4 linked regions of the Oryctolagus cuniculus genome follow. The protein of the gene in region 2 interacts with the protein of the main gene of each other region in a pairwise test. Links are inferred from orthologs where the notes say so. Each region holds a gene or a part of one and is shown on either strand. Other genes may lie near its edges.

Evidence for each region. The genes of interacting proteins can lie anywhere in the genome.
Region 1: the proteins of ARR3 (region 2) and DVL2 interact in a two-hybrid assay, tested with the Homo sapiens proteins (2 studies listed by BioGRID and IntAct). The two-hybrid records come from large-scale screens. The link is inferred for Oryctolagus cuniculus from reciprocal best matches to the Homo sapiens genes ARR3 and DVL2.
Region 3: the proteins of ARR3 (region 2) and GNMT interact in a two-hybrid assay, tested with the Homo sapiens proteins (2 studies listed by BioGRID and IntAct). The two-hybrid records come from large-scale screens. The link is inferred for Oryctolagus cuniculus from reciprocal best matches to the Homo sapiens genes ARR3 and GNMT.
Region 4: the proteins of ARR3 (region 2) and ZNF496 interact in binary tests that used the Homo sapiens proteins (3 or more experiments, as listed by UniProt). The two-hybrid records come from large-scale screens. The link is inferred for Oryctolagus cuniculus from reciprocal best matches to the Homo sapiens genes ARR3 and ZNF496.

What each region holds. Positions count from the first base shown.
Region 1 is NC_091448.1:51,838,517-51,844,181, forward strand, and holds the start of DVL2 (segment polarity protein dishevelled homolog DVL-2), read right to left. Parts: upstream 3,784-5,665; 5' UTR 3,563-3,783; coding exon 3,369-3,562; intron 1,311-3,368; coding exon 1,241-1,310; intron 200-1,240; coding exon 54-199; intron 1-53. Other genes in the region: PHF23 (PHD finger protein 23), read right to left, coding at 4,802-5,016, 5,114-5,665.
Region 2 is NC_091453.1:50,170,764-50,175,751, forward strand, and holds part of ARR3 (arrestin-C), read left to right. Parts: intron 1-2,707; coding exon 2,708-2,907; intron 2,908-3,014; coding exon 3,015-3,074; intron 3,075-3,260; coding exon 3,261-3,328; intron 3,329-3,942; coding exon 3,943-4,078; intron 4,079-4,267; coding exon 4,268-4,352; intron 4,353-4,601; coding exon 4,602-4,674; intron 4,675-4,988. UniProt on the Homo sapiens protein: May play a role in an as yet undefined retina-specific signal transduction. Could bind to photoactivated-phosphorylated red/green opsins.
Region 3 is NC_091436.1:127,046,004-127,051,429, reverse strand, and holds GNMT (glycine N-methyltransferase), read left to right. Parts: upstream 1-1,643; 5' UTR 1,644-1,680; coding exon 1,681-1,886; intron 1,887-2,682; coding exon 2,683-2,810; intron 2,811-3,192; coding exon 3,193-3,309; intron 3,310-3,513; coding exon 3,514-3,656; intron 3,657-3,759; coding exon 3,760-3,881; intron 3,882-3,966; coding exon 3,967-4,138; 3' UTR 4,139-4,284; downstream 4,285-5,426. Other genes in the region: PEX6 (peroxisome biogenesis factor 6), read right to left, coding at 4,619-4,755, 4,940-5,079, 5,206-5,283, 5,408-5,426. UniProt on the Homo sapiens protein: Catalyzes the methylation of glycine by using S-adenosylmethionine (AdoMet) to form N-methylglycine (sarcosine) with the concomitant production of S-adenosylhomocysteine (AdoHcy), a reaction regulated by the binding of 5-methyltetrahydrofolate.
Region 4 is NC_091437.1:1,715,906-1,721,372, reverse strand, and holds the start of ZNF496 (zinc finger protein 496), read left to right. Parts: upstream 1-1,684; 5' UTR 1,685-1,935; intron 1,936-2,684; 5' UTR 2,685-2,811; intron 2,812-3,045; 5' UTR 3,046-3,084; coding exon 3,085-3,474; intron 3,475-3,622; coding exon 3,623-3,794; intron 3,795-4,843; coding exon 4,844-4,920; intron 4,921-5,467. UniProt on the Homo sapiens protein: DNA-binding transcription factor that can both act as an activator and a repressor.

The sequences.
Region 1 (5,665 bases), on a different chromosome or scaffold from region 2:
CCAAGGGGCCGCTACACCTCCCTCCCCTGTGCTCAAGAATCCCGAGAACTCACTGGAAGGATGGAGGCCTTGAGTCCCCAATGCCACTGGTCCTCTCTGGGGGCAGAGGAGGTAAAGGTGGGGGTGGAGGCGCCAGTTCTGTCCGCGGCTCGTGGGCCGGGGGGGCCGTCTCAGGCTGGGGGTTATCTGACGACACTAGCTAGACAAACGTAAATGACAGAAGGCAGCTCAACTGGGAGATGGGTGGAGGATGGGAGACGGGAGAGGATCAGAAAGCGGATGGGGTTTTGTGGAGTATGGAGAAGAGCCAAATACAAGGGGACTTCAAAAAGTGCATGGAAACCGGACTTAAAAGACAAGTGATGGTGCGCGTTTGACCTAGCAGTTACGCTGCCTGTGTCCCCTATCAGACGGCCGTGGTTCAAAACCAGGCTCTGGCTCGATTCCAGCTTCCTGCTAATGCGCACCCAGGGAGGCAGCAGGGATGGCTCAAGCGCTTGCGTCCCTGCCACCCACACGGGAGACCCAGATTGAGTGCCCAGTTCAGCCTGGCCCAGCCCAGGCCATTGCCAGAATTTGAGGAATGCATAAGCAGATGGGAGACGGCTGTCTCTCAAATACATTTTTAAAAGTAACAATAGGCCGGCGCCGTGGCTCACTAGGCTAATCCTCTGCCTTGCGGCGCTGGCACACCGGGTTCTAGTCCCGGTCAGGGCGCCGGATTCTGTCCCGGTTGCCCCTCTTCCAGGCCAGCTCTCTGCTGTGGCCCGGGAGTGCAGTGGAGGATGGCCCAAGTGCTTGGGCCCTGCACCTGCATGAGACCAGGAGAAGCACCTGGCTCTTGCCTGCGGATAGGCGTGGTGCACTGGCTGCAGCGTGCCGGCCGTGGCGGCCATTGGAGGGTGAACCAACGGCAAAGGAAGACCTTTCTCTCTGTCTCTCTCTCTCACTGCCCACTCTGTCAAAAAAAAAAAAAAAAAAAAGTAATAATAACTTTATTTTGACGCATGCCCACGCACCCTGTTTTGAAGCCCACGCATCCTTTTCTCATACTATGCATTTCCCATGAACGTTTTTGAAGCCCCCTCATGGCAGAGGCTCCAGAAGAAAGCCGAGGAGCTCCCACTGGCTCTCCAAACAGGGAGGGAGGCAAAGGGCCAGGGCAATGACTGGGCAGGGAGAGGCTACAGACAGATGAGGCTGGGAGCAGCCTGGGAACCCAGAGGGAATGGGCCCTTACCCAGGATACCACCCTTCCGTTGAAGCAGGGCAGGCGGGCATTGTCATCTGAAATTTCTTCCTTCACCACCCTGCCGGGAGACAGGACGAGGTCAGCGAGGCTGGGTCAGCCACCCCCGCCGCCAGCTTCTCCGTCTTCACCCAGCTCAAGGATGCCGGCCACCCCCTGCCTCGTTCCCCCTCTCTCCTAGGGAAACAACCTCCAAACCCCACTCCCACCACGTTTCGCCTGCTCGCCCCAGCTGGCCCTCAGGGGCAATGCTGCTCCAAAGACTTCCTGCAGCATGACTGGAAGGCCAACCCCTGTGGTTACCTGGTTGCCAGTGAGCCTTGCTGGTAGCCGTCCCCAAACCCAGCCCTGTTCCGTACACACCTTCCCCAACCTCATACAAGCTTCTACTCTCCCACTTCCCTTTAGTTTTTTCTAATCCACTTCCAGAGAGTGGTCCAGATGTGCTGTCTTTGTCAGGGGACAAAAGCCCATTAGAGGAACCAACAGCATCTCCTTAGGCTGAGAGCTGGGAAGAAGAGAGGAAGCCAGGCTTCCCGTTCCCCTGTGCCTCCCCTGGAAGAACTCTGCTCTCAACAACATGCTGGGTCTCAAGACCCCAAAGCCCCACCAGCTCCCCTGTGTTCCCTGTAGTGGACTGGACTTGCCCCCCTTTCTTCTCAACCACCCCTTGCAATCAGCAGCACCCATTCTGTTGTACACCACGCCCTGACCACGCAGCATTAACACTTGTTGACTAAACAAACAAAACACACAAACCAATAGATTCTCTGGTTTCTCCTCTGTCTCACAAACACACCCTCTCCCCTCCCCAAATCAGAACATCTTGTCTGATTAACCCTTTAGCCTAATATGCCTCTGGGAGTGTGTATATACACCAACTGAATCCATTTGCTAGTTATGTGACAACAGGGCCCAGCCACTACCAATCTGTTTCAGTGTAATTAGTGTTCTCCCAATATAACCCATCTTGGCACAGCTCAACCCACTCCACGGCAGGCTATTCTGTATCACCACAACCGAGTTTGTGGACCTGTGGGCCTCAATGCCAAGGACAACGATGACCACGCCCCAAGAGTTTCCCATGTGCCAAGCGCGGGAACTAAGCATTTCACTCTGTGATTATCTCAAATGTGAGAAAAATCAACGCACAAAGGTAAATGAAATTGCCCAAGATTACACTGCTGACCAATCCAAGAGCTTTGATTTAAGCCCAAGATAACTCCCAAGACAACTGTCACTCTCCCCACGCTGAACGACCTTTTTAGGCAGAGTCCAGTTTGTTCCGTCCCCCTAAAATCCAAGCCATCAACACAATCTAGCCAGCCAGTGAAACAACTGAGCAGTCAAAACAAGAGTGGTCATTCCCCAAAGTGAGAAAAACAAAAGGGCTTCGAATATGTTATTTACAGTCCCAGTCAAGTCCAGGAATCCCCAAATTACCCCAGGATAGCCCAATCTATTCTAGCACAGCCTACAACGTCCCTGCATGCAGCTGTCTGCACCAATATAGACTAGACTATCCCAATACAGCTGTCTGTATTAGCAAAAGCCCCAACAGCCTTATCTGCCCTGTACTAAGTGCCCCGATGCGTGCCGAAGAAGAGTTATTAGGTTAGGATCAACCAAGAGACCAGAATGACCCCAGCCCGTCCAGTAGCCCACTCCAAGGCAGCCTAGAACACCGCAACTTTTTTTTTTTTTTTTTTTTTGCATTAGCATGCATACACTCCATGGAGTCCCCAAACAATCCTGTCTCTGCCACAACGTTCCAACTGCCGCCAACACAAGCCCGGCTATGTCAAGAGACTGCAGGCTGTCTCCACACAAGCTGTGTGCTACAGGAAAACGCTCAGTCCCGACCACCCCAAAACCAACCTGCGCGCCCCCACCTATTCCATATGGCCCAATCTTCTCCACTTTATCGCTCCGTGTGCATCCATCTGTCCAGGCATAACCTTGTCCGTCCTGGGACGGCCACTCTGCCTCAGTGTGGCACAATCCGATCCACTGAAGGCCAGAAAACCCGTGTAACCCAGAGCAGACCCGTGCCCCCTGCAGAACGCCCCATCCGTGCGGGTACAGCCCCCGTCAGTCCCAGGCTAGGCCTCGCGCTCACCCGAAATCCTGATCCATGGACTTGAAAAAGTACTTAGCACCCGCGGGCCGCTGCAGAACGCTCTTGAAGTCTCCAAGGGTGATGCGCTCGGCGGGGACTGGGATCTTCACCAGGTAGGGAGTCTCCTCCTCATCCAGGTGGTAAATCACCTTCGTCTCCCCGACGCCTCCGCCCCCCGTGCTGCTGCCCGCCATGGTCTCGCCCGCGCGCTCCCGGGCTCCGCCGCCCACCCAGTGGGGCTATCTGCGGCCCGCCGCGCCTGCGCACACTCGAACCCCGACCGGAGCGCGGACGCGACAGAGCCAGTGTGGGCGTGGGGCAGCGGGGAGGCGGCGGGGTGCGGCAGGGTGGCGGGCCGCGCGACGCGCCCCGGAGCGGCGCACTCAGCCGCCGCGCGCCACCGCCGCCGACGTCGCGAGCGCCCTCCAGGGCCCCGCCCACCTCGCCTCATGTCACGTGGCCCGAGCCCGCCCACCTCGCGCTCCCTGCACCGCCCTTCGCCACGTGACCCCTCCGCCATCACGTGACTACTCGGCTCCTCCCAGCGCTCCCTCCACGTGACCGCTGCCTTCAGCAACGGTCTCCCAGCCCCGACCCACTCCGCCCCCGAGCGTATCCCCCACCGGAGGTCCTCCCGGCTGGCACCGTGTCCTGGGGACCTCCGTCTTCGGGGTGGGGGGCGCCCTGCGCCGTCCGGGCGGGAACGCGAAGCGACTGCGCACGACCGTCCGTGCAGGAGCAGCGGGACCGCGGGCGCGCGTGGAGGGAAGAAGCCGACGGAGCCCCTGGGGTTGTGTCCCGGCGCGGGAAGGCCCGGACGCCGAGGTGGGTTTGTGCCCTGCGGCCAGCTCCCCCAGAGCCTCCCCCCAAGCAGGACAGTCAGGGAGGGCTAGAAACACAAAGAGCCCACTCTGCTTTATTTACAACACGCAGGCTGTCTGTACAAACGGCTGGCCAGTAGTAAAAACAAGAGGTGCGTGAGGACCGTCACCTTGCCGCTCTCCTTGCTCGCTTGGCCAGGCTCACTCCACCTCTGAGCCGCCACGCTCGAAAGAGGAAGTCCAACATTAAAAATACAACCGGTGTAGAAGAAAATAAATTGGGAGTAAAATAAAAGATGAGGGAGGGGAATGCTATATTTACACTAGAGTTTATAGACAGCTGTCCCAGTCCATCCCAATTCCAACCCTGGCAGGTCCAAGATGCTGCATCCGGGGCCCCCGACAGCCTCCCACGCCCAACGCAACGTCCACTCCAGTCCACAGGCTGGGGAGGGAGGGGAGGGAGGGACCGTGAGACTCATTTCCGAAGTCTGCCTTGGGCGTTCCTGCCTTGAAGCGGGGACCACATCCAGACTCCAGGGGATGGGCTGAAGCCCCCGAGGCTCAGTTCCCGAATCGTCACTTGCCAGTTCCAGCCTGGAGTTGGCAGTGTCAGGGCTCTCCAGATTTGGGAAGCCCCCCTAACCGCCGCGCCTCAGGCCGCAGTTCCTTGCATTTCTGGCAATAAAAGAAGTCAGGGACATTGGTCTTCTTAATCTTAGCACAGGAGAGGTGGATCCACGTCCCACATAGGCTGCACTCGATCATGGGCCGCCCTGCGAAGGGCTTCCGGCAGTAACACGTGATCAGGTCCCATGAGTCATCACCTGGGGAAAGAAGGTTTGCTGGATGTCCTGCCTGTGCTCTTGGATCCAAACACCCCGCACCCCACCGTCCCCGCTGCCCAGGCAGCCCCCACCTCACCTGATTCCACCATGATGTCCTCGTCCATGACCCGCATCTCGCCTTCGCTGGAGCTGGCATCTCCATCCTGGCTTGTTTCAGTGCTGCCCACCTCCTTGCTTTCACTGTCGGTGGGAGGGGCGCCTTCGGGGTGCACTGTGGTAGGGGGCCTGGGGGCCTCAGAGGGTGTGGGGAGCACAGGGGCTGGGGCTTCATCCCCTACCACTACTGACATCTCTTCCTCCTCCTCTTCTTCCTCTTCCTCCTCCTCCTCTTCAGAGTCTGTGTCACTGGGGGGTGCCCTGGGAGGCCCAGGAGGTGGGAGTCTATCCCCCCGCTCTGCCTTTTTCAACTTCCGCTTCTTGCTCTTCTTGATCCGAGACCTCTTTTCCCCATCCCCAGGAGCCGGTCGAGGCCTCCGGAGAACCCCAAAGCCAGCCCCCCCACCGGGCCCCAACTTTCTGTTCTTTCGGTCCTTCTTTCGAGGGGGCTGGGAGAGGTCCCCCTGGGCAAGGGGCACTGGGGTGAGGGCGGCGGGGGGCCGGGAGGGGTGTGTCAGGGCTGTGGGAGCCA
Region 2 (4,988 bases):
CATTAGCAGGGAACTGGATTGGAAGTGGAGCAGGCAGGACTCAAACTGGCACTCATACAGGATGCCAGCATCGCACTTTAATTCACTACAGCACAATACCAGCCCCCAAAGTCTATAACTTCTTACGTTGGCTAGCCTTCTATTGCATGAGTGTACCTTAACGTATTTAGCCAGTCTTTGATTGTTGAACATTCACTTTTTTTTTCATTTTTTGCTGTTATAAACAATCCTGTAAAGTGTCCCTTGTGTGTGCGCGCGCACATGTTTGTATTTGTATGTGTATCTTTTCGTCCTTGCCCCATTATTTCTTAAATGGCTGGAAGAGGAATTAACGGTCAGAGAGCATTCATACACTTTTAAAGCTTTCTGTACCTATTGCCAAATTGCTCTCCAAAAGGTTTGTACCAATTAACTTTCCTTCCTGCTGTGTACAAGGCCCTGGTCCTTATTACAGCCCTAGTGTTATTATTACTTTCAACCTTTGTTACTTCTTTTCAATACAGATTCATTTTCTGTATTCTTAATATTCAAAGCAGACAATCTGCTATTTAATATTTGGATCTCTTAAAATACTAAAATAACTCATGTGTAGCTATTGGCAGTTTTCTTTCCTTTGGGTCAGGGCCCCTGATACAAAGAAGGTTGTTCACCCATGTTCTCCATCTTTCCTCCAGCCTCTGTCGCTCTCCACCTCGCACTCCAGGAGTACAGTTCTGACACGTTCAATCTGTCCCTAATCATAGGCAACAACGGCACAGTCTGAATTCAGCTGTAACTCTTCCTCATCTGCCAAGATTCCCATCCTCCTCCTCCTCCTCCTCCACATCCTCATCCTCACCACCACCACCAACATCCACATCTACAAATAATTTATAGTTTCCGAACAGATTTCATATACAGCAACTCCTTCTCATAAGCATCCCATGAGCTGTTCAAGGTGGCCATGAGTCTGGGCTTTGGAATCACATAGGCCTGGGTTCAAATCCTGAGCCATACCTTAACTACTCTGAGCTCATTCAAATTACTTATGAAGTGGGGATGATAATTCAGAAGCTCAGGGCTGGCGCTGTGGCATAGTGGGTAAAGCCACCACCTACAATGCCGGCATCCCATATGGGCACCGGTTTGAGTTCCAGTTGCTCCAGAGTGGACAGTGAGAGAGAGACAGAGAGAAAGGTCTTCCTTTGCCTTTGGTTCACCCTCCAATGGCCACTGCGGCCGGAGCGCTGCGGCTGGCAAACCGCACTGATCTGAAGGCAGGAGCCAGGTGCTTCTCCTGGTCTCCCATGGGGTGCAGGGCCCAAGCACCTGGGCCATCCTCCACTGCCTTCCCGTGCCACAGCAGAGAGCTGGCCTGGAAGAGGGGCAACCGGGACAGAATCCGGCACCCTGACTGGGACTAGAACCTGGTGTGCAGGCGCCGCAAAGCGGAGGATTAGCCTATTGAGCCACAGTGCCGGCCGCAGTTGCTCTATTTCTGATCCAGCTCCCTGCTAATGGCCTGGGAAAGCAGTAGAAGATGGCCCAAGTGCTTGGGCCCCTGTCCATGTGGGAGACCAGGAAGAAGCTCCTGGCTTTGACCTGGCCGAGCCTTGGCCTTTGCAGCCATCTGAGGAGATGCCAGCAGATGGAAGATCTCTCTCCCCCTCTCTCTGTAACTTTGTCTTTCAAATAAATAAATAAATCTTAAGAAAAAATACTTCAGAGGCTTGTTGTATAGTCCAAATCATGTATGCAGAGATCCTAGCACCATTCTGCTATGGACAGGCCAAATAACTAAGGCCTGGAGAACTCAAGGAATTGGTTCAAGTCCTATGCGAGACCAGATATTTTTACCCTTAATTTTATTGTCTATCTTTCTTGTTATGAACTATTTCAGGAGAAGATGCTCTGTGCCCATCATCTAGCTTTATAAAGAATTACAGAAACAAATGGAAGTCTCCTACATGTCCTTCCCTGATCCCACTGTCCCCTCTCCCACCCTTCTCCTCCTCCTTCTCTCCCCACTCCCCAGGTAAGCACTATTCTGAATGTGGTGTTTATAATTCCCATGAGGTTTCTAAAAATCTCCATATTTGTGTATGTGTGATGAAGTCTGGTATTGTTCTACATGCTTTGAAACAGTAACCTACTGGGCAGATCGTTGTGCAGCTGGCTTTTCATACACAGTAGGATTTTTGTATTTTATTTGAAATACAGAGTTACAGAGAAGCAGAGGCAGAGAGAAAGGGGGGGGTCTTCTATCCGCTAGTTCACTTCCCAGATATCTGCAATGGCTGGAGCTGTGCTGATCCAAAGCCAGGAGCCAGGAGCTTCTTCCGGGTATCCCACGTGGGTGCAGGGGTTCTAGGACTTGGGCCATTTTCCACTGCTTTCCCAGGCCACAGCAGAGAGCTCGGAAGTGGAGCAGCCAGGTCTCGAACCAGTGCCCATATGGGATGCCGGCACTGCAGGGGGCAGCTTTACCCGCTACACCACAGTGCTGGTCCCCACAATAAGTTTTTAGATTTTAACCATGTTAATATATGTCAAAATGTTTGTGAAAAGTGTGCATTACCTTTGATTCCATTTTCCACAAATCCTTCAAAGTACCCTCATATGTCGTCGAATGTATGAGTAATCCTTTTGTTCTTTCAACAGTATGATCACCATTAAGACCTTTCCCACTCAGGCCTGACAGGTCAATTCCCTCCTCCTTTGCCTGCAGTGTTTGTCATGTTGACATGTGCCTTTCACTATGGCCGTGAGGACTTGGATGCAATTGGTCTGACATTCCACAAAGATCTGTATGTCCAGGTCCAGCAAGTGGCTCCGGCTGAACCCACCAGCCCCCAGGGACCCCTCACAGTCCTGCAGGAGCGACTACTGCACAAGCTGGGGGATAATGCCTACCCCTTTACTCTGCAGGTATGGACCCCAAGTCCTGGGCATGGTTTCCAGGGAAGAGGAAGAAGGAGAGCAGAGGACAGGAGTCTCTTTTTCTTCTGTGCACTGACCTCCTTTTGGTCCCCTAGATGGTTGCCAACCTGCCTTGTTCAGTGACCCTGCAGCCAGGTCCTGAAGATGCAGGAAAGGTGAGGTTTGTGTCCCGAGAAAGAGGGATAGACAGGTAATGCCAGGGAAGAGGAGTAAGGAGGGAATGGATAAGACTGAAGGAACAGCCAGCTAAGGGGAGAGGCCAGGCATTCCTCTTGGAGGCCCAGGAGGAAATGAGGGACAGTGTTGGAAATGAGCTCTCTTTGCCTCCTACCCCTTTGCAGGCCTGTGGTGTCGACTTTGAAGTGAAGAGTTTCTGTGCTGAAAACCTGGAGGAGAAGATCCCCAAGGGGTAGTCTTCAGCCCTTCCCCAGATGCCTGCTCTAGCTTCTGCCAGGAAACAGATCCCGGTCTCACACACAGACAGCCCGACTTCTAACCTCCATAGCACCATTGCCACCAGCTCAGATGCCTACTTTGGAGTCCCCTCTGACTTCTTTTCTTTGCCCCAGGGCAGGGGTTGGCAAACCTTTCCATAAAGGGCCAAAATCTAAATATTTTGCTTTTTGCGGGCAATTCTGTCTCAGTTGAACTCTGCCACTGCCATTGGGAAAGCACGCTCAGATAGTACAGAAATGGGTGTGCCTGTATTGATGGACACAGACATTTGAATTTTATATCACATGCATGTGTCATGAAATATTTCTGCTCCTCGATTTATTTCAACTATTTACAAACGTGATCATTATTAGCTTACAGGCCATACCTAAAAAGGCAGTAGGCCAGATTTGGCCAGTGAGCCATACATAGTTTGCTGCCCCTTGGTAAAGGTACCAGAAGATTTCTGGGAGGGAGGCCTTCCCCCAACCCCCACTCCCAAGCAAGGCCTGGGCTATGGGGTTGGCATTGGAGAGGTCTGTGGGTCCCATAGGAGATGTTCTGGCTGATTCCTTGGCTTCTGCTCAGACACTCGGTGCGACTGGTTGTCCGGAAAGTACAGTTTGCACCCCTGGAGCCAGGCCCTGGCCCCAGGGCCCAGACCACCCGCCGTTTCCTTCTGTCAGCTCAGCCTCTACAACTCCAGGCCTGGATGGACAAGGAGGTTTGTGACCCTCCACTTCCTGCCCCCTACCCTACAATCCCTCTGATGCCCTGTCTTCACCCACCTCCTTCTTTGGTAGGCAGAGATGAGAGCCAGGGCAGCAATAGTGCCAAGGACACAGGAATTCTCAGGTTTTGATCTGAGTGTTTTTCCTCCAACCTCATGATGGGGCCTCTCCTCCTACTTCAGGTTCACTACCATGGCGAACCCATCCCTGTCAATGTCTCTATCAACAATTGCACCAACAAGGTCATCAAGAAAATCAGGATTTCAGGTGAGCTGCTTTTCCTGTCCTGCACCTGGCCCTAGAACCACAGGTCTCTGAATCTCTGCCCCACTTAGCCATCTGCATTCCTCTTAGCCTTCCCTCCAAAACAGGTTTCCCAAAGCAGATAATCTTTGTCAAAGTGCACATCTTACTGCAGGATGTAGTGTGCCCTTGTATAAGGTCTCATCTGAGGATAGTGCAGTGGGATCTCGAGGATCGCTGATTCTAGCCGTGTGCTTTTCCTGGCTTGTTTAGTTGACCAGATCACGGACGTTGTCCTGTATTCACTAGACAAGTACACCAAGACTGTGTTCCTTCAAGAGTTCACGTGAGCTGCCACTGGGGCTGGGGTCAGAGAAGCGAGGGGTGGCATGGTGGGAGGCAGAGGAGGGGGTTGAGGAAGGAAGAAAGGGTAGGGGGAGCCCAGGAATGGGCTAGAACAGAGAAAGGGAGGGATTCCCAGGAGAACTGGGTGGTGATGGGGTGTGGCTTACCCATAGGAGAATGGTCACAGGGCTGAAAGGAAGGCAGGGGCACGAGGACTTCTCACTGGAGCTAGTTCCTCTTACTCTTTGCTGTTAGACTTGTCACCTCTCATGGGTTCTCCATGAGGCTCTTGGGGATTCTGCTAGATCCTCTCGG
Region 3 (5,426 bases), on a different chromosome or scaffold from region 2:
AGACCTGTTGTCAGCAGGAGGGTGAGCACATGGCTTCATTACTTGGACATGGACAGGCACGGTTGACGCTGTCCTTGTGCTGAAAATAGAAAGTTAAGCATGATTACATAATCTCTGGGTTCCTCCAGCTCTGAGATTCCATAGACAATCAAAGGGTTAGGGAGAGGAGGCTCGTTTGTTCTAGATTCCATAGCTGGCTCTTTATAGGCAGAGGAACAGTGCGGGTGGAGGCGGCATCCACATCATGGTCTCAGTGGCACTTTCCTAAATCCACCTTAGTCAGGGTCTTGTCCTTGGGAGAGAAATTTGGAAAACTTACTGCTCCGGGCAGTAAGGGTAGACATGCACTAAGCAAACCAAATGACTAATTTGTTTATTTCATTTGAAAGGCAGAGAGACAAGAGACAGAGAGACATACAGGCTAACAGAGAGAGCCCCATCCACTGGTTCACTCCCCACATCCCCACAACAGCCAGGGCTGGAGCAGGCCGAATCCAGGAGCCTGGAACTCAGTTCCCATCTCCCACATGGTCACCTGCTGCCTCCTTGGGTCAGCACTGTTAAGAAGCTGGAACAGGAAGTGGAGCCAGGACTTGAATCTCGGCACTTCGATATGGGATGTGGGTGTCCCTGAGTGGAGTCTTAACAGCCAGGCCAGATGCCCACTCTCAAATGCCCAACTTACAAAGAGACAGTGTGAGGGTCTCCCGGGCCCCTCGAAGACCCCAGCAACGGGGTCATGGAACATGTCCTGGCCAGCGACAGTCAGCCCAGGTCTGTGTCCCCAGGTTAGGATCCACATTTGCAGCGGTTGTCAGCTTCCAGCTGGCCTGCGTGGCCCTGGCTCCCTCGCAGTGTATTTTAGTAAATCTAACTCTGCTCACTCTCCGCTCTGGTGAATTCTCGCTGCCTGCCACACAGGCCTCAAATGGTCACTTCCCACGACAGATGGGAACAATAAAATAGCAAGGGCACCGAGCATGCTCACTCCTGCCCCTGTATGTGTGACCCTGTGGGCGCCTGGAGGGAAGCAGATGGTCTTTAGTGCCCAGTGGACCAGATGTTAGAAGCGGGTGGGCGGGGGGTAGGAACCACACTCAGCCTTAGCAGGCTCAGGGGGAATCCTGAAGTGTCTGTCGCCTACACAACAGCGACACACCTGCTCCAGGTGGGCAGGGATGCTTCTTCCTCCAGTCAGGGCTCTGTCCCTGACTGTGGGAAACGGAGCGGCACCATCCCCAGGACGCCTCGTGCCCGGGCTTTCCTGGCTGCCGGGCCTTCCTCCTGTACGCCCATCGCCTCGCCGCGCGGTCCAGTCCTGCCGCTCCCCGCCCCCGCCCCTCACCCCGCTCAGCTCGGTGTGGGTTTTGAAGTGCTCTTCCCTTTTTCCCAACCGGAGCAGGCGTGGAGAGGGCCCTGTGCCTCCCGGGGCCGTCCTGCAGGTGCGGGCCGAGTGGGCAGCAGGTTCCTTCCCACGTGGGCTTGTCCAAAGGGCTGGGTGCTGAACTGCCGGGCAGCGCCTTGCCCGAAGTCCCGGCAGCAGCGGGCTCGCGGCCACGAGTCCAGGAGGGGCGTGTCCCCGCGCTCACCTGCCATTGGCCAGGTGAGGCTGCCGGGTCGACCGCCGCGGCCGAGCTATAAGTGCCGAAGCCGAGGTTGCGGGGCCCAGGCGCGGTCAGGATGGTGGACAGCGTGTACCGGACCCGCTCTCTGGGGGTGGCGGCCGAAGGCCTCCCGGACCAGTACGCGGACGGGGAGGCGGCGCGCGTGTGGCAGCTCTACATCGGGGACACCCGCAGCCGTACCTCCGAGTACAAGACGTGGCTGCTCGGGCTGCTGCGGCAGCACGGCTGCCGGCGGGTGCTCGACGTGGCCTGCGGCACCGGGTGAGCCCGAGCGGGGTAGGGGGGCGACCAGGGGTCGGCTTGGCCCGGCCGCCAAACCACATGGCAGGCAGGAGCCAGGGCCCAGGAGCGCCGCCGCCGCCTCCGGGGGAAGAAGGGGTGCGGCGAGTGTCCGGGCGAGGGCGGAGGGAGAGCGGGGGTGAGGGTGCGCGGGCCTGGGCCTGGGCCGCAATGAGAGCGATCAGGGCGCAGAGCAGGAGCCGGACTTTGGGGCCAGCCCTGATCCTGGCTCCCACCTGGCCCCTCCAGCCCTGACCTTGGGCAGCGTTAACAATTGCTCAGCGTGCGTACATGCCAAGCGCTGCACCAGGAACTTGTGTTCCTGCTGTTTTTCAAACCCTCACAAAACCCCATGGGGGTGAGTAGTGCTAATCCGCACTCACTCCTGGGGAAGTGAGGGCTCAAAGTCAGTCAAGGCCCCACCTGGTGCGGAGGAGACACCACCCCAGGTTGGTTAGGGTCGCGCCACTGCGCTGTCCTGCTTCTGGGGCTATAACTTAACTCCAGGAACTGCAAGTTGTCCCTTTCTCAAAGGCAGCTCACACACCTGCCCCAGAGTCCCTGGGAGGATTAATGCAGTTTGCACATTGCCTGGCTCTGCAAAGGTGCTCGTTAAGAGGCGCCCCCTGGTGATCAGCTGCAGATTTGCCAGGTCATCTGAGGGCAGTGAGAAGGCAGAGGAAGCCTGGGCCTCTGGAGTTGGGACAGAGGGGCTCCACTTGCCAGGGGCCTCCTTGTCTTCCCAGGCCCCTGACTGCCCCTCTCCGACCCTGTGCAGGGTGGACTCCATCATGCTGGTGGAGGAGGGCTTCAGTGTGACGAGTGTGGATGCCAGTGACAAGATGCTGAAGTATGCGCTTAAAGAGCGCTGGAACCGGCGGCACGAGCCTGCCTTCGACAAATGGGGTATGCAGTTCCGGCTGGGCGCAGCCCAGAGACGCCGTCCTCTCTGCCCTGGGTGCCAGGGCTGGGCAGGGGGACAGCTGGTTCTCCTCAAGGGGACAGCAAAACGGTCATCTCTCTGAGGAGGAAGGCTTGGGTACCAGAATGGGGCAGTGAGTGTGAGAGCTTTAACTGGCCCTCCCCCCAAATGAACACACACACACAGCCCCCACCTCTCTTGACCCCTCCATGTCCATCAAGACCCCCTCCTAACTGGATAGGATTGCGCACGCATGCAGGTGGGTGTGCATCTTAAAGAACAAACAGGCAGGACTGCACTTGGTGGAGGGGTGCTAGTCATGCCACGAGGTTACCCTGCTTCCTCTTCTCCCGCCTGGCCCCATAGTCATAGAAGAAGCCAACTGGATGACTCTGGATAAAGACGTACCCCAGCCAGCAGGGGGTGGCTTTGATGCGGTCATCTGCCTTGGAAACAGTTTTGCCCACCTGCCAGACTGCAAAGGTGAGAGGTGTGGTCTCGGGCAGGCAGAGCCTTGCCTTGAACCCCACCCCTTTCCACAGACCCCTGGGAGCCTGCCCTCCTGCCAAAGCACACTCTGCTCTCTGCCCTCCTGTGCCGCAGTGCTGGAGCCCCTGGGGAGGAGACGGATGGGGGGAGGCTGGCGCTAGGGGCCCTGAGCTGACCGAGCCTCTGCCTGGAGCTCAGGGGACCAGAGCGAGCACCGGCAGGCGCTGAAGAACATTGCAAGCATGGTGCGCACCGGGGGCCTGCTGGTCATCGACCACCGCAACTACGACCACATCCTCAGCACGGGCTGTGCGCCCCCCGGGAAGAACATCTACTACAAGGTGAGCCCCCCAGGAGGGAGGGGCCGCAGTGCACGGTGTGAGCCTGGGCTCCAGGGCCCCACGGTGGGTGACAGAGGCTCACACAGCCTGTACCACTGCCCAGAGTGACCTGACCAAGGACGTCACGACGTCAGTGCTGACAGTGAACAACAAAGCCCACATGGTGACCCTGGACTACACGGTGCAGGTGCCGGCGGCTGGCCAGGACGGCCCTCCGAGCTTGAGGTAACACTGGGCTTGGCGGAGGTGAGGTGGCCATGAGGGGAGCCGGGGCCAGCAGGCCTCACGGCTGGCTGGGGCTCTGTTGCAGTAAGTTCCGGCTCTCCTACTACCCACACTGTCTGGCACCCTTCACGGAGTTGCTGCGAGCAGCCTTCGAGGGCAAGTGCCAGCACAGCGTCCTGGGCGACTTCAAGCCTTACCAGCCGGGCCAGGCCTACGTTCCCTGCTACTTCATCCACGTGCTCAAGAGGACAGCCTGAGTGCGGCCGCAGCTCCCACAGCCTCCTGCCCGACCTGGGGAGGGGGGCCCGGCAGCCCCACGCCCAGCCCCTCTGTCCCTGCAGGTGCTGGGGGTGTGGGTTCAGGCCAAAGGTAGAGTAAGCAATACAGCCTGTGCCTTGTCGGATCCTGCAGGCTTTGTGTTTCTATGTTGCTCTTCTCCACACCAAACAGTCCTGCCACAACACCAGCAGGGGGCGGCATACACTTTATTTTCAGCCACTGTGAGGGCCCAATCCCCAGCTCTCCTGAGCAGCTGGCCTGGGGCAGGAGATGCCTGGTGAGCTCTTCCTGGGGCTGCCAACACCGCTCCCTACCCAGGGCATCTCCCCGAGGGAGGTGGTCTTCAGGTGCATCGTGGGCAGCAGCCTGAGCAAGGGCCCTTTCCTCTCAGGTCTCTCTGTGGGGCCACCTGGGTACCTTTAGCCATTCTGGACAGAGTCCCGGTCTGCAGGGGGCTCCTAGCAGGCAGCAAACTTGCGCTGGATGCGTTTGTACCGCAGCAGCTCCTGCTCGCTGACCGAGGGCTGCAGCTGGGCGGCGGCCTGCAGCAGGTCCTCCATGGTGAGCAGCAGTGCCGAGCTGGCCGGCTCCAGCCCTGGGGGGAAAGGGGGGTGGCAGGGGGAGACCAGCGGCCCCATCTCCGCTGAAGGCAGAGGCTGTGACCCAGGGGAGGGCCCTTCCTGCTCAGAGTGCCCGGATGGCCCTCTTCTGAAATGCAGCCCCAGGCCTGGCTCGCACTAGTGTTTTTGGTTGATTTCTGGGGCTGGCAATGGGCTCACCTTCCTCCAGGTCACGAACCCTGCGTTTGAGGGCAGCTGTCATGGCGTCCGAGCAGAGAGAGTACAGGTCTGCGCCTGTTAGCTGGGGCGGGCAGCAGTCCAGCACCTTCACCAGGCTCACCGAGGGCTCAAGCTTGAATCTTGTGGGGGTGGGGAACAGTTACAGCAGTCCTCACATCCTCCCTCTGAAGCCATCACTGCCCAACACACCCCGTGGCCACCCCAAGGCCCAGGCCCTCGGGGAGTGTCTCTGGAACAGGGCATACTTGCGTGTGATGGCGCTCAGAACACGCAGCTGGGAGGCCCGGTCCTCACTTGCACCCACAAACACCAGCTTGTCAAATCTTAGGGAGATGGGGGTGTCTGTGAGAGGAAGCCCAGCCAGGAAGGGGGGGAGGAGACGCAGAGCAGGGGTGAGGGATGAGCCCAGATGGGCCTGGTGGGGGGTGAGCAGGCTGGGGTGCCCACCTGCCAGGTCGCAGAAGGG
Region 4 (5,467 bases), on a different chromosome or scaffold from region 2:
TAAAGGGTCACAACAGCCAAGACTCTGCTAGACTGAAGCCAGGAACCAGGAGCTTCCTCTTAGTCTCCCACGTGGGTGGGAGTCCAGGGACTTGGGCCATCTTCCGCTGTTTTCCCAGGCACATCAGCAGGGAGCTGGATTGGAAGTGGAGCAGCCAGGACTCATGGGGCGCCAGCATTGCAGATGGCTGCTTAACCCTTTACCCCACAACGCTGCCCAGACTCTACTCTTGTTTCCTGGCCCTTGCCCCTTCCCACCAGCAGCCAGTTGTGTTCAGGATGCCCAGCATGGCCTGGAAGGCCACCAGGACCACAGGTGCCTAGCAGGTCCTCAGTGCAGGTTTGCTGAACGACTGAACCATCCCACAGACCACAAAATGCAGTTGGCAGCATCATCCCTGTTTCTTGAGGAGGAAACCGAGGCACAGAGGAGTTACAAGGGCCTGTGGTCATCTGGCTAGGAAATGACGAGGCCCCAGGAGTTAGCCCAGGTGCTGACTCAGAACCCAGACTCTGACCTCTGAGCTGAGCTAAATGCAGAAGGAACACAGAGGAGGGGCTTGGCAGGGAGCTGTCTCTCAGAGGAAAGATCCTAACTGCTGGTGGGACCAAGCTGATGGCGGCAACCTCAGAACCCTACATTTTACCTACTTTAGAACTACAGGGTGCGGAGCAGCGAGCACCAATTCCAGTCCCCTAGAGCTGGTCCCAGACTACTCATGGACGAGCACACCAGCTGTGACCAGCACCTGAGTCCAGGTGTGGCTCCTGGCAGGTGCTCTTACAGGGCCCTTCCACATCCAGCATAGCCCCTGCCACTTGGTGGAGAGCCAGGCCAACTGGGGTCTGGCTGGCAGCCCAGGAGGAATCGCTGTCCACACAGGAGCCCCACTCCTTCCCTAAGGAGCCAGAGGATCCCAGCATCTAACTAGTGCTGGCGCCCATTGCAGTCAATGCAGGAGGGGAGGAAGGGGCTCAGGCCCAAGGCACCAGGACAGCCATGGCCACTGGGCCTCTGGTATCCAGACAACCCTCCACCTACTAGACCAGGCCACCTTTAGGGAGGAGGGCTTCCCACTGCTTGCCCTTGAGGGTCTGAAGGAGTCTGCCTTCCCTCTCCTCTCCTTGCCCTGGAGGGGGACAGAGGATGGAGCAGGGCGTGGAGCGCTGGCCACCCAGACTCAGGGCCTGACAAACCGGCTGGCCCGGGGAAGCCCCATCTGAAACGTGGGTGACAGCACCGGGGCAGAGACCCTAACTCCTTCACCACCTCCTGGGGTCCAAGTCTTGTCTCCCCTCCGCCCCTCGGCTGAGCCAACGGCCGCGCCTTCGGGACTCGCGGAGATCAGGCGGCGGTGGAGCAGGGAGGGGGTGGGAGAGGCCTTCCTGCGCCCCCAGACCGCCCTCTCCGGGAGTGGGCGAGGGGCACCGGGAGGGGAAGCGCCCCTGGCCCGCCTTCCCGGGACGTGGGCGAGGGGCACCAAGGAGGGGAACGGCCTGGGCCGGCGCGACCCCCGCCTGGGCCCTCGGCACGCCGGGGCCGGGGCCCGGGCGGGGCGGGGCGGGCCCGGCGGTGTCGGGTGTCGGGTGTCGCCCCGCGCACACCTCGGCCGGGGGCGGGAGCGAACCACTGAGATGCGGAGACCTCCGCCGTCCTAGAGCGGAGCAGGAAGTGTCCCGGGGGAGGGCGCGCGGGGTCCGGCCTTTCCGCGCCTCGGCGTCCGCGGGCTCGGCGGCGCCCAGCGGCCGGGGGCGCGCGGCGGGCAGCGGCGGGGCGGGCGCGAGGCGCGGCCGCGCGGGCGGCGCCGGCCCGCAGCGAATCGGGCCCTGCGGGGAGGCCTCACCGGAGAGGATCAGCGGCGGCCGCGGCCGGGGGCTGGATCCGGCGCCGTGCGAGGGGCCCGGGTGGACGCCGGGGCCGAGCCAAGGCCGCGAGGTGCGCGGGGTGGGAGGAGAGTGCGCTCCTCGGAGGATCCCGGCGGCCGCGGCCCCCGGGGCCGCCCCTCGCGTCTGCCGGGCCGAGCTCGCGCCAGGGGCCGGGGGACAAAGGGGCGAGGGGCCTGGGTACTGGGGCTGCAGGTGTGGCTGGGAGTCCCGGGCCGGTGCGGAGCGCGGGCAGGTGGCGCCGACGGGTCACAGCCGCTGGCCCAGTGCCCGCTCCGTGCGCCGGCTGCACTGCAGAGACCTGGGTGCCCATCGGAGGTTTTGCAGCTGCTCTGGCCTCATGGGTCCTCCTGCAGAGCAGGAGCCAGGCCCGCACGGCCTCCTCACCGGGACGCCTAAGCGGCGCTCACGCCCAGGTGTCAGTGCAGAGGGGGTATGAGAAGCAGATGCCGGGCAGGGCACCGTGCCGCCACCTGCCCGCCCACTTTTCCGGTGCTCAAGATGTGCCTCGGGGACCCGCGCTCAGCTGCAGTGGCCTCAGGTCCCCCCGACGGCAGCGGCTTCTGCGGGGCTGTGCCTCCTGCATTACAGCCTGGGATTCAGGAGCTCTGAGCCCGCCGTGGGAGTGCGGCGTCCCGGCCTGCGCGGGAAGGACTGTGGGTGGAGCCCAGAGCAGGGACCAGGTCTCTGGGTGGGGACAGGGCGACTTCAGATGGGGTAGATGTCCGAGTGAGTTGGCCGACAGACTCGTGGGAAGACCTGGTGCTAGGTGCCTCCCTGTTTTTCTGTGGCAACCTGCAGGTGCGGCCTCTGGTGACCTCCGGGTCCGGCCCAGGCTCTTCCCAGCCGCGCTGCAGCCCAGGGTGGGGTGCTCCGAGTGTGTAGGCCCGCAGGGCGAGGGCAGCCACTGGAGCTCCGAAGCTTCAAGGTAGAGGGCTGGGCACCCGTGGGTCCTGTCCAGATCGACCTGCTCTCCCGAGGGCCACTGGAGGCTCTTCTCCCGCTCCCCCACCCCTTCCACCCCCACGGCATTAGGGACCCAGGCGGTGGCACTGTCCTGTGTCCAGAAGGGTTGTTACGCACTCCAGGGCTTTCCCGACCCCCTGCCCCAGGCGTGACCCCGGGACCCAGCGTCGAAGCCGCGATTTCTGTTTGGAACCAGGTTTGTCTTCCGCCGCTGACCCCGTCACTGCAGCTGGTCATGCCCACGGCGCTGTGCCCCCGAGTCTTGGCTCCGAAGGAGAGCGAAGAGCCCCGGAAGATGAAGAGCCCCCCAGGGGAAGACCCCGGCCCTCGCGCCGAGCCGCCCAGCCCGGAGTCCTCCCGCCGCCTCTTCCGCCGCTTCCGCTACCAAGAGGCGGCGGGGCCGCGTGAGGCGCTGCGCCGCCTGTGCGAGCTGTGCCGGGGCTGGCTGCGGCTGGAGCGGCGCAGCAAAGAGCAGATCCTGGAGCTGCTGGTGCTCGAGCAGTTCCTGGCCATCCTGCCCCGAGAGGTGCAGAGCTGGGTGCGGGCGCAGGAGCCAGAGAGCGGCGAACAGGCAGTGGCCGCGGTGGAGGCGCTGGAGCGCGAGCCGGGCCGGCCCTGGCAGTGGGTGAGCTGGCGATCAGCCCCGGTCCGCGTGTGGGAGGGGCCACTGCACCTGCCCGGAAGGAGCCTGGGGTGGGCAACTGTGGAGTTGTGGTGAGCCCCAGCCCCGGTGTGCTCTGCCTCAGTCTGAAAAGCCCCCTCTGGGGTTGCAGCTCAAGCACTGTGAGGACCCCGTGGTGATTGAGGATGGGGAGCAGGAGCAGGAGCAGCTGCAGGCGGAACCGCACAGGGACCTTGCTGGGGGCCCAGACACCGAGCCCGTGGCCCTGGCTCAGAGCCCGGGGCTCCCAAGCAGACCTCCAGGCCAGCTCAGTGGGGATGCAGGTACGCAGCCCCTGGCGGCCCTGTGTGGTGGGTGTGGGCTTTGTTAGGGTGGTGGCTCTTGACTCCCCTGGCCCCTGAGGAGCTGTGAGCCATTCCCAGAGTGTGGGTCCGTCCCTAGGACGATGGACTCAGAGCCTTATGGGGACTTCTGCCCTCCCAGAGGGAGCGCTTGCAGAGGTGGGTGTCTTGGAGGTGCATCTCTGCACCGTGTCCACAGCTGTGGCCTGAGCTTCCGGGAACCTGTGGCCCCAGCTGAGCGGTGGCCTGCAGGGTCCTTGTGGTGTTCCAGGGAGGCACAGGGAGGTGGCAGGCCCAGGTGTGGTTCCAGTGCCATTGGATGGGAGGAATCCTGGTTGTGCAGTAGTCTGGGAGGCCAGGGGTCTGCTGTCATCCTTGGCATTGTAATCAGCTTTTCACTAGAAACAAAACACCTGTTAAATCCACATGCAATACTGTACAGGATTCTGCATGGTTAAGGTGAGGTGGGTGTGTGAATTCCAGGGCTGCTCACTGGGCCCAGGCACAGGGGCTCTGTCACCGACTTAGGAGGGTGGGCACCTGGGTGTGTTCCAGTCTGGGTAGGTCTGGGCTCACCCTCTGGAGCTTTACCTCCTGAAACAGCCCTTCAAGTGCAGTCACAGCCTGTGCTGCTGTAGGGTTGGAACCTCAGCATGAACTTGGGAGCACATCCTGCCAGAGTCAGTGTCTGTGTATACGGCCTGGGCCAGGCAGGGAGAGGCCCTGAGTGTGGGGGCATCGTCCTGGACCAGGCAGGGAGAGGCCCTGGAGGTGTGTGGGGGACACCCTCCCAGGCTGGGTAGGGAGAGGCCCTGAGGGTGTGGGGGGAAGGGAGAGGCGCTGGGGGAGAGTGGGTAGGGTATCGTCCTGACCCACGCAGAGAGAAGCTGTACATGGGGGAGTGTATCATCTTAAGACCCTCCCTGCAGACGAGCTGTCTGCTGGTGCCATCCCCTGGTCTCCTTTGCCAGACAGCCCTGGAGTGGGACGGGGACTGGCTCACTGGGACACCCTCATCTGGTCTCTTTCAGTTCTGCAGGACATGCCAGTTTTTCAGGAAGAGAGTATGTGGGGTGCCCCCCAGGTGACCGCCCTTCAGCTGCCTCCGGTGAGTGATCTCTGCAAGTCTTGAAACCTTGCTTCTTGTACCTCACAAGGTATTCAGCCCAGCCCAGAAGAGGTGAGACAGGTGGGTCTCAAGCCCTCCTCCCACTCTGCAGGCAGTGATGGCTGATCCAGGCGACTTCAGTCCTGTGTCCTTAGGGCATGGCCTTGGTGTGCCCAATACCATGTCCTATGGGGCTTGCTTGGGCTCTGCAGAGATGAGGTGGTGCTGGCCAGGCAGGTACACTGGGTCCTTCTTGCCCCGTCACTGTCTCAGCTGTGACGTCCCATCACAGAGCCTCTCCTCCAAGCGCTTGGTTGGCTGGTGTGGCGTCATCTGCTTCCACGGGAGCATGGGCTCCGTGGACGTGGGCACTTGCTTCATTGCACGCTCCCTGGCCAGTAGGAAACTGAAGAATAGTGGATGCGCTACAGGCTGAGGATCCCTTGTCTGAGGTGCTTGGAACCAACAGGGTTTCAGGTTTTGTGATATTTGCACCCACAATGGTACTTCAAAAAGCTCATGAAAATGGAATTAAAACACAAGTTTT